Drosophila melanogaster: one gene and its partner. The protein of the gene in region 1 interacts with the protein of each later gene in a pairwise test. Each region holds a gene or a part of one and is shown on either strand. Other genes may lie near its edges.

Region 1 (5,151 bases):
AAGGCTGTTGCGAGTTTCCCTGTTCTTGGATTACTCGTACATTGGCATTGTTTCTGTTGTAGTTGTTCTGACTGTTGTTACGGCCTCTGTTTCCATTATAACGGCCTCTGTTATAGCCATTATAACGGTTATTATTTCCATTATAGCGGTTTTGATAACCGTTATTCTGGTAACCGTTATTTTGGTAACCGTTATTTTGGTAACCGTTATGGTAGTTGCCTCTAATACTATTGTTATTAAAGCCTCTACCGCGGTTACTACCTCTATTGGCATTTCCGTATCCTCTATTGGGTCTGTTACCTCTAAAGTACATCACTTTATTGATGTCACCGGTAACTCTTGTACTCGTTCTTATGTATGCGCTTATCGCTGCATCCATAGTGGTGCAAGTCCCTGCTTCCAGTACTGTTTTGATACTTTCGTGCTCAGCACGATGTATCATGGTTTCAATTGCCTCTTTGGTGCTTAGACCAGTGGCATGTTCTAGAGGTATACCCTCATCGATATAGGAAGCTTCTAAAAGTTTTCTCAGGCTATCAACTTCAGCGGTAAATTGCGTTGCAGTTTTACCTCTCTGCTGAACTGTTGCTAGCTTTGCTTTGACATTACTGGATGTCTCACCGACAACTACTTTCTGCAATTTGTTTATAATTGCTGGAATTGTCGTTTCATTGTCAACTGAGTTCAAAATTGTGCCAACTATTTTTGACTTAATGACCTCAACTGCAATGTCTTCAAATGGTCCCTTAGCTAGGTCTACCAATTTGATTGCCTTAATGAATCTTTGTAAATGGATCTTTTGCCCATCAAATTCTGGCACTGTGCAGGCGACTTCCCTAATGTAAGACCTAATGGCAGCTGCTTCTTCTGCCATGGTTAAGTTATTTTCGGAGTCGGCTGCGTTATTTGTTTTATCGTCGTTCTTCAGCATTAATTTTGCTGGTATAGTTAGATCGTGAAGATCTTCCTCTTTAATGTCTTCCTTGACTATAGTCCTATCTTCCTCGTCAGAGTTAGTGCTGTCTTCATTCAAATTTATTCTTAGTGGGGTGTTTACTATGGTTGGAATTTCTATCTGGAGACTGAATTTATTTTTTATAAATATTAATTTTTCTCTTAATGTCACCAGTAGGTTCAAAGCCTTAGCACACTGTTTGCGTTCCAAATTCTTTCTATTTTGTTGGATCAACTCTCTGATTTCATTATAACTATTTACCAAGACTTGGGCATTCCTATTGATTGTTACAGCTTGTGTTGATCTGTTTTGCGTTAAGCACTTATAGGATTTTCTGAAATTTTCATTTTGATCTTTTATCTGATCAACAAGCTTTTCCCAGTCCATGCTGTGGTATACTCATAACTTCAAATTTATTCATTTGTATATATTTTTTTTTTAATGTAGATAAATTCAATATTACGTTTTATATTTTTTTTTATTTATTATTTTTTTTTTTTTCATATAATTTTTCTCATATTTTCATTCATAATTGACTTTATTAAAGATCTTCCTTAAATATTATCTATACCGTTAGCAGTGCTACGGTATCGTTTCTTAAGACACTTGTTATGCAGTTTGTATATTTTTATTAATGCATTGGATACCATAATTAATGCAATTACAATTAGTATTATGGTTATCCAGAACAAGTCTGCATTTTGGACTTCTACTTTATTTATTACATTGGCTGTAGAGTCCACAGTTTTAGTGTCTATTAGACCCATTTTGGGTATACTAATTTTATATTTTGGAGAATAGAATAGAAAATTTCCTTTGTATATACTTTTATTTTCAGTTTTACTTATTTCATTTGTCTCTATAGACATTTATGTTTGGAATTATCTATTTATAAAATCTTTCAATGTTCGCAAGAGTAAAAAAAAATTGTATTTTACATTGTTGCCTGCCTGATTCTAGCTATGGCTTCACGGGCCATATTGGGTTAACAGGGCATAATAGTATATGCTCCGTTTTACAATATTTCTTACAATTTTTCTTATCTATATATATTTTATATTTACTTTATATTTATATATATTTATTATTATATTCTGCTGTTGATGATGCTCATCAGGTGTCAGCTGGGCGTCGCCGGGGGTGGCACGCTGACACTCCCTCGCTGCTGTCTATTTGTTGGGTGTCAGCTGGGCGTCGCCGGGGGTGGCACGCTGACACTCCCTCGCTGCTGTCTATTTCTTCGCCGCTGAAGACGTCGATGGTCGCTCACAAGTCCCCAGGCAGTGGGGACTCCAGATTCCTTCGCAGCCAGGGGGGGCAGGACTTCTTTGGTTTTGTTAATGCTGGTGCTGGTGCTGGACATGCCTGGTATTTTGGAACTTCATTAATTGTGGGTATATTTTTAATATTATCTGAGTGAGTTTTCTCGAGCTTATGGGTCTTTAATTCTTGCTGATATTGCAACAAGTGGTCTAGCTCTGCATGTAGCTTTAGAGCTTTCGACCAAACCGGTGGCGTTTGCTGACCGTATATTAGCCACCTTACGTGGGCTATACGTTTATTCAGCTTAGTTTTCAAACCGCCACGGTGTTTGCCCATACTCAATAGAACTCTACTCACTCAGATTTTTCCTTGGTTTTTGCAGTTCCATTTAATTAGTCCAGTCTTCTTCCAGTCCAGTGTTCCTTTGTTCCTTTGTTTTCACCAGCTTTGGTCAATTCGTCCAGCGTTGGACGACTGTCACGGTCGCCATGTAATGATGAACTCCAATTAAGAACACAAGTCCGTTTTAAGTTGAAGGCAGCCGTCGGGCTGACATATATTTATTCAATTTCTTCTTTTGATTTTAGAGTAGGCAGAAATGGTTCTGTCAGCTCAACGTCTACCGAGTCTCTCCCTGATTTTACAGTTTTTTAATATATTTGGACTTAGGCTAATCCGCGTAGCTGCGCTGCCGGGTACGCCAGCAGCGGAGCGGCGTTCTTATGTATATCTTATATATCTAGGCTTATCGGGAGAGCGAGATATGTATGTACGTATGTAATATGTATTTGGTCGGCGTGTGAATGCTGACCATGCACTTATACTTTTTGCCTTCGAGTGGGCAATGCACTTATACTTTGTGGCCTTCGAGTGGGTGATCATGTTACATCCGCCCTGGCCTAACTGCGTGCATAAACATAAACATAAACATAGCAACAAAGTGCTGCCATAAGTTAATATGCTATTTTATTTAATTGTTCTTAATATTGCATAGGCACATACTACACTCATATTTCGGGCGGTGTTTGGTTAAATTCTCATATTTCCATTATATTTATATTTGTATAAATGTAGTACATATATTATGCTAGAGGTGGCAGTTATATCGATGTTATCGCGATGCCAGAGCGGAGTTACTCAACCACGGCAGTATCGAGAAGTGCTCGACCACTGGGCTTGTATCGATAGTATCGGCGCCGTTCATCGTAGGATTCAAACACGTTTCAAGTGAAATTCATTTGCAAGTTGAGACACAATATTTATACACCTCCCAAAATTTATTCGCTGTGCCATGTGTAAAAAAAAACCATTTAATTCACAGTTACATTTCAACTAAATCTCACAACATTCCCTCAGTCAATCCTTGGCATTTGGGAACTTCAGGGTTCGCAGCTTGGAGTAAATAATGTCCCAGTCGACGTAGGCGCCCACCAAATGACGCTTGTTGCCCGGCGCATCCTCGTAAGCCGTTCTTCCGTGCAACATTCGCAGGTTGTTGAAGACGAACACATCGCCGGCTTGGGTCTTGAACTCCACCGCCTCGGACTGGGCGATCTCAAGGAACTTATCGTAGGCTTTGTACCAGGACACGGCCTGCGCCAGGGAAACGGAGAACCGGCTGTCCCGCTTAGTGGTGTTCTGGTTGATCCTCGCGAACCGGCCATCCACATCCAAACAAATTACTGGCGCTCTCCAGAGACTGTGGAAGGGCTTGGAGTCATCGCCGTCGTGTCCGATGTCAAACCAGTTAACGGGCACCGACTTGAGCACCTCGAAGTCCTCCGGATGCAGTTTTTGCAACTGCGAGGCCACGTTGAAGCCATCTGTCAGCGTATTTGCTCCACCCTTTGACTCCGACTGGACGAGGGTGTGCAGGATGTTGATGCCCGCCTTGTACTCGTAGTAGGGCATGTCGGTATGAAGCGGCAGGGGAGTCATTAGATAGGCGTAGTTGCGCGCATTTGGTTTGGATTTAACCTCGAAAACGTCGCTAGGGGAGGCGGGATAGTAGATAATTTATAGCTGAACTTGAGTAATGCAACTAAGGTGTTTTCCCTTTTAATTTATGAAATGTGGCTAGCATATTCTGTAGTAGTATCTAGCGTGAGTAAGTGGTAATCAAATCTTTATCATGAGTACAAATGGACACCTGGTTGAAAATATTTGCCTGATTCTGGCTGTAACAATCAACCGATAGTGATAATATTTAGTGGACTGATAGATAATACAGCTCTCGGCAAATGTGAGTTTTATGACCCTGGTACTGTACGATGAAGTATGTCATCTATTGGTTAATATTTACCCGTAGGTGGTGCGTTTTATGTAGCCAATTCGTTCGGCCAATTTCTTAGCCACATTTATGTCGTTGGGTGCCCCTTTCAGAATGGCGAATCCTTGGACTGCCAGTGCCTCAAGCCAAACTCTCAGGGCTGCATCTTGCTCCAGCACATCCTCGTATTGGAATTCTCTTTTCACATCCTCGAACTCCGTTTTTCCCCAGAGTTGAGCGGGTGGCTTGTAGACCTCCTCCAAGTAATGCTTTCTGCCAGTCTCTCCAAAGTCCCTTTCCCTCAGCCAGCCTAGATCGAAGGTGCTCCTGTGCTTGTCCTGCCAGATGATCTCCAACTGTTTCCTCTCCTTGTTGTAGGCCACTTGGGACACTGGTATATTCAGCGGGCCACGATCCCAGTGACTTTTTCTTGCTCTTGTGGCGGCGTGGAAGCACTCGGCACACTGACAGTTGTCCCTAAGCCAAACTTGGGGGTACTTCAGGAGATTGCCCTGCTCCTCCTGGACTTCTACATAGTCGGGGCATAGTCGCACACAAGCAAATGTGCTCGCCTGCCGAAGAAGGCTCAGCCGAGAAATAAGTTGCCTACAGCTAAGCATTCCAGGCTCAACTGCCGAGCAATCAGGTGATGGCACAACAGGCA
Region 2 (3,398 bases), on another chromosome or scaffold:
CCCGAAATCAAAAGCCAGGTTCAGATTGATGCCATGCGTCTAAGCGGCAGACTGGCGGCCAGGATACTGCGCGAATGCGGTAAACTAGCAACAGTTGGCACAACCACCGATCAGATTGATGCCTTTGCGCATGAAAGAATTCTCGAGTCCAAAGCGTATCCGTCGCCGCTGAGATACGCCGGCTTCCCAAAGTCCATTTGCACGTCGATCAACAATATCGCCTGTCACGGAATTCCGGATGACCGGCAGTTGGCCGATGGGGATATTATAAATATTGATGTCACAGTCTTTTTGAACGGCTACCATGGCGACTGTTCGGAAACATTTCGGGTGGGCAACGTGGACGAACGGGGTGGCTTTCTCGTGGAGGCCACTAAATCCTGTTTGGATCAGTGCATTTCGCTGTGCGGCCCCGGTGTGGAATTCAATGAGATTGGAAAGTTCATAGACAGATATTGCGACGAACATGATCTGGCATCGATAGCTGCTTTCATTGGACATGGAATCGGTAGCTATTTCCACGGCCCCCCGGAGATACTACACTATTGTAAGTAAGACTGTTTAAGAGACTCCTCCATTGCTAATCAAACTGCACATCGTAGATAATGAGATTCCTGGAAAGATGCAGCCCGGCATGACCTTCACCATTGAACCCATTCTGTCCCTGGGCGGAGCAGAAATAGCAGTGCTGCAAGATGGCTGGACGGCCATTAGTTTGGATGGCGCACGTAGCGCCCAGTTCGAGCACACCATTCTGATAACCGAGACGGGAACGGAGATACTTACAAGAGATCAATAGAATTTTATGTACATGATGCAATTTTTATTCGTGATTCCCATAAAGTGTTGAATGAGTGCTGGATGGCAGTCTTGTGCATTTTGTGCCGTTTTAATCGTCGACTCCGTCTGGTTAGGTGCTCTAATTGATTGATGATGCATACAGAATTTAGCTACAAATCGCATTGGACTTCTGCACCGGCTTCTGAATGGGAAGGAAGAGCTTAAACTCCGGCGGCAGCTCGTCCTCCGAGTAGAGACGATCGGAGAAGTAGACGCGTCTGATGCGGCAATTTGCATGAATCTGTACACGGAGTGTCTCCACATAATTGGTGCCGTATGCGCGACGCGTGAAGTCGGACAGGTTGAACTGGATCTGGTTCCATCCCTCGTCCAATCGCATGGGCATGGTGCAAATGAAAGGCTTGACACGAGTTGTCGACTGGTAGTTACTGGCCCTAAACCTTCGCCGCACGTTCTTGTCATCGAGAACCTGATTAGGGGCGGAAATCATGGAGTTACTGTCTTATGCAAGATGACGAAGCTTACCTGAACCTCGAAGGTGAAGTACTTCTTCATGTTCTTGATGATCATCACCAGGAAGGGCAGCTTGATGCCCAGCGTCTTCTTCGGATCTGCCGGACATGTTATGAACGTGGTGCTGACATTGGTGCCGACTATTTCCAACACGAGGCTTTGTATGTCGTTGTCGGTGATCCGCTTGATGTGTCCATTGCGCACCTTCTTATCCCACAGCTGCAGTGGCTTTGAGCCAATACTGTACAGAATTGATAGGAATCCCGATTGGAAAGTGTTTTTGAACATTTCGCGACTGCTGTGCAGTGACCGGTTCGCCCCACGGAGAGTATAGTCTCTTCGAAATTTATATAGGGCCAGTTAAGGTTGGCCGTAAATTTTTCGCACAGCCGAAACTCGTACAAACTACGAACATCAATGCGGAACTTGATTATTTTCTCATGTCAATGAGTTTGTTTAGCACGGCATCCTGTTGTTGCCATAACAATAAGCGAGCAGGGTTGCCACGTTTCCAAATGCTTGAACATGCTCGCATGTTTATGTGGGGTGCGAAATTGCGAAGTTGAAGGCCTGTCTCGCTTATGGAACGGTGAAAAAGAAACAGCTTAAAAAATAAATAATAACATGCGTTAATTTGGAATTGGCTAGACAAAAAACATCTATTATTGTTAAAAATTTTTATTTATGAATTAATAACTTTTAATCAAGTTAAAATGGTGCTTATTATTAACAGCATGGAAACTTAAAATATAGAACATTAATTGTGAAAGTAAAACAGATTGCTAAAATGCTAAAGGTGGTTAAGTTATTATTAACAGCAAGAAAACTTAAAATACAGAAAAATAATTATTAAAGTTGACTTTCCCATATTCCGATTTCTGTGAAGCAAAAACCTAAGCAGCTATCGAGTTATCGGGCAAAGTCACATCACCAGTTGATGTGAGTATTAAAAAAATATATAGCTTACAGAGTACAAATGGCATCGACATCGAGGTAAAAGTCGGGTTTCCTAACAATTTGTGAACACCAATAATGGCTTACTGCTTGCAGACTGGACAACAACAAGGTGTGCTGCTACGCACACCCCGAATCTCCGCTCATCGAGGACTACAGGGCTGGCGATATGATTTGCTCCGAGTGTGGTCTGGTGGTTGGGGACCGCGTAATTGATGTGGGCTCCGAGTGGCGTACCTTTAGCAACGAGAAGAGCGGCGTGGATCCCAGTCGTGTCGGTGGACCGGAGAATCCGCTGCTCAGTGGCGGCGACTTGTCCACCATAATTGGTCCGGGCACAGGATCCGCATCCTTTGACGCCTTTGGAGCACCCAAGTACCAAAACAGACGCACCATGAGCAGCTCGGATCGCTCCCTCATATCAGCCTTTAAGGAGATATCCTCGATGGCCGATCGCATTAACTTGCCCAAAACCATTGTCGATCGGGCCAACAACTTGTTCAAACAGGTGAAATTCGAGTTCGCGGTTGATTTGGTTGAGACCTCATGCCGTTTTCTTGTAGGTTCATGATGGAAAGAACCTCAAGGGTCGTTCCAACGATGCCAAGGCATCCGCTTGTCTGTATATAGCTTGTCGCCAAGAAGGAGTTCCTCGCACATTCAAGGAAATATGTGCTGTCAGCAAGATCAGCAAAAAAGAGATTGGCCGTTGCTTTAAGCTAACATTGAAGGCTCTCGAGACAAGTGTGGATCTCATAACCACTGCGGACTTCATGTGCCGCTTCTGCGCCAACTTGGGTAAGTGTTTTTACACTTTCTGTACTTGAAGGTAGCAGGATTAATACCTATAATTCTTATCAGACCTGCCGAACATGGTCCAACGCGCTGCCACGCACATTGCAAAGAAAGCCGTCGAGATGGATATTGTACCGGGACGTTCGCCAATTTCTGTGGCCGCAGCCGCAATCTATATGGCCTCACAAGCATCCGAGCATAAGAGAAGCCAGAAGGAAATCGGTGATATAGCCGGTGTGGCCGACGTCACCATCAGACAGTCCTACAAACTTATGTATCCGCACGCAGCTAAGCTTTTCCCCGAGGACTTTAAGTTTACCACTCCCATTGATCAG

What was found.
Region 2: the proteins of su(w[a]) (region 1) and Bug22 interact in binary tests that used the Drosophila melanogaster proteins (3 or more experiments, as listed by UniProt).

What each region holds. Positions count from the first base shown.
Region 1 is NC_004354.4:1,031,480-1,036,630, reverse strand, and holds the start of su(w[a]) (suppressor of white-apricot), read right to left. Parts: upstream 3,316-5,151; 5' UTR 3,230-3,315; exon of another isoform or gene 3,224-3,229; intron 1-3,223. Other genes in the region: CG14630 (uncharacterized protein), read right to left, coding at 3,575-4,208, 4,521-5,107. UniProt on the Drosophila melanogaster protein: Regulator of pre-mRNA splicing (and, possibly, of other RNA processing events). Regulates its own expression at the level of RNA processing.
Region 2 is NT_033779.5:10,429,113-10,432,510, forward strand, and holds Bug22 (basal body up regulated gene 22), read right to left. Parts: upstream 1,807-3,398; 5' UTR 1,603-1,806; coding exon 1,327-1,602; intron 1,271-1,326; coding exon 947-1,270; 3' UTR 808-946; downstream 1-807. Other genes in the region: CG5188 (uncharacterized protein), read left to right, coding at 1-547, 603-799; TfIIB (transcription factor IIB), read left to right, coding at 2,291-2,307, 2,365-2,776, 2,832-3,066, 3,130-3,398. UniProt on the Drosophila melanogaster protein: Cilium- and flagellum-specific protein that plays a role in axonemal structure organization and motility. Microtubule inner protein (MIP) part of the dynein-decorated doublet microtubules (DMTs) in cilia axoneme, which is required for motile cilia beating.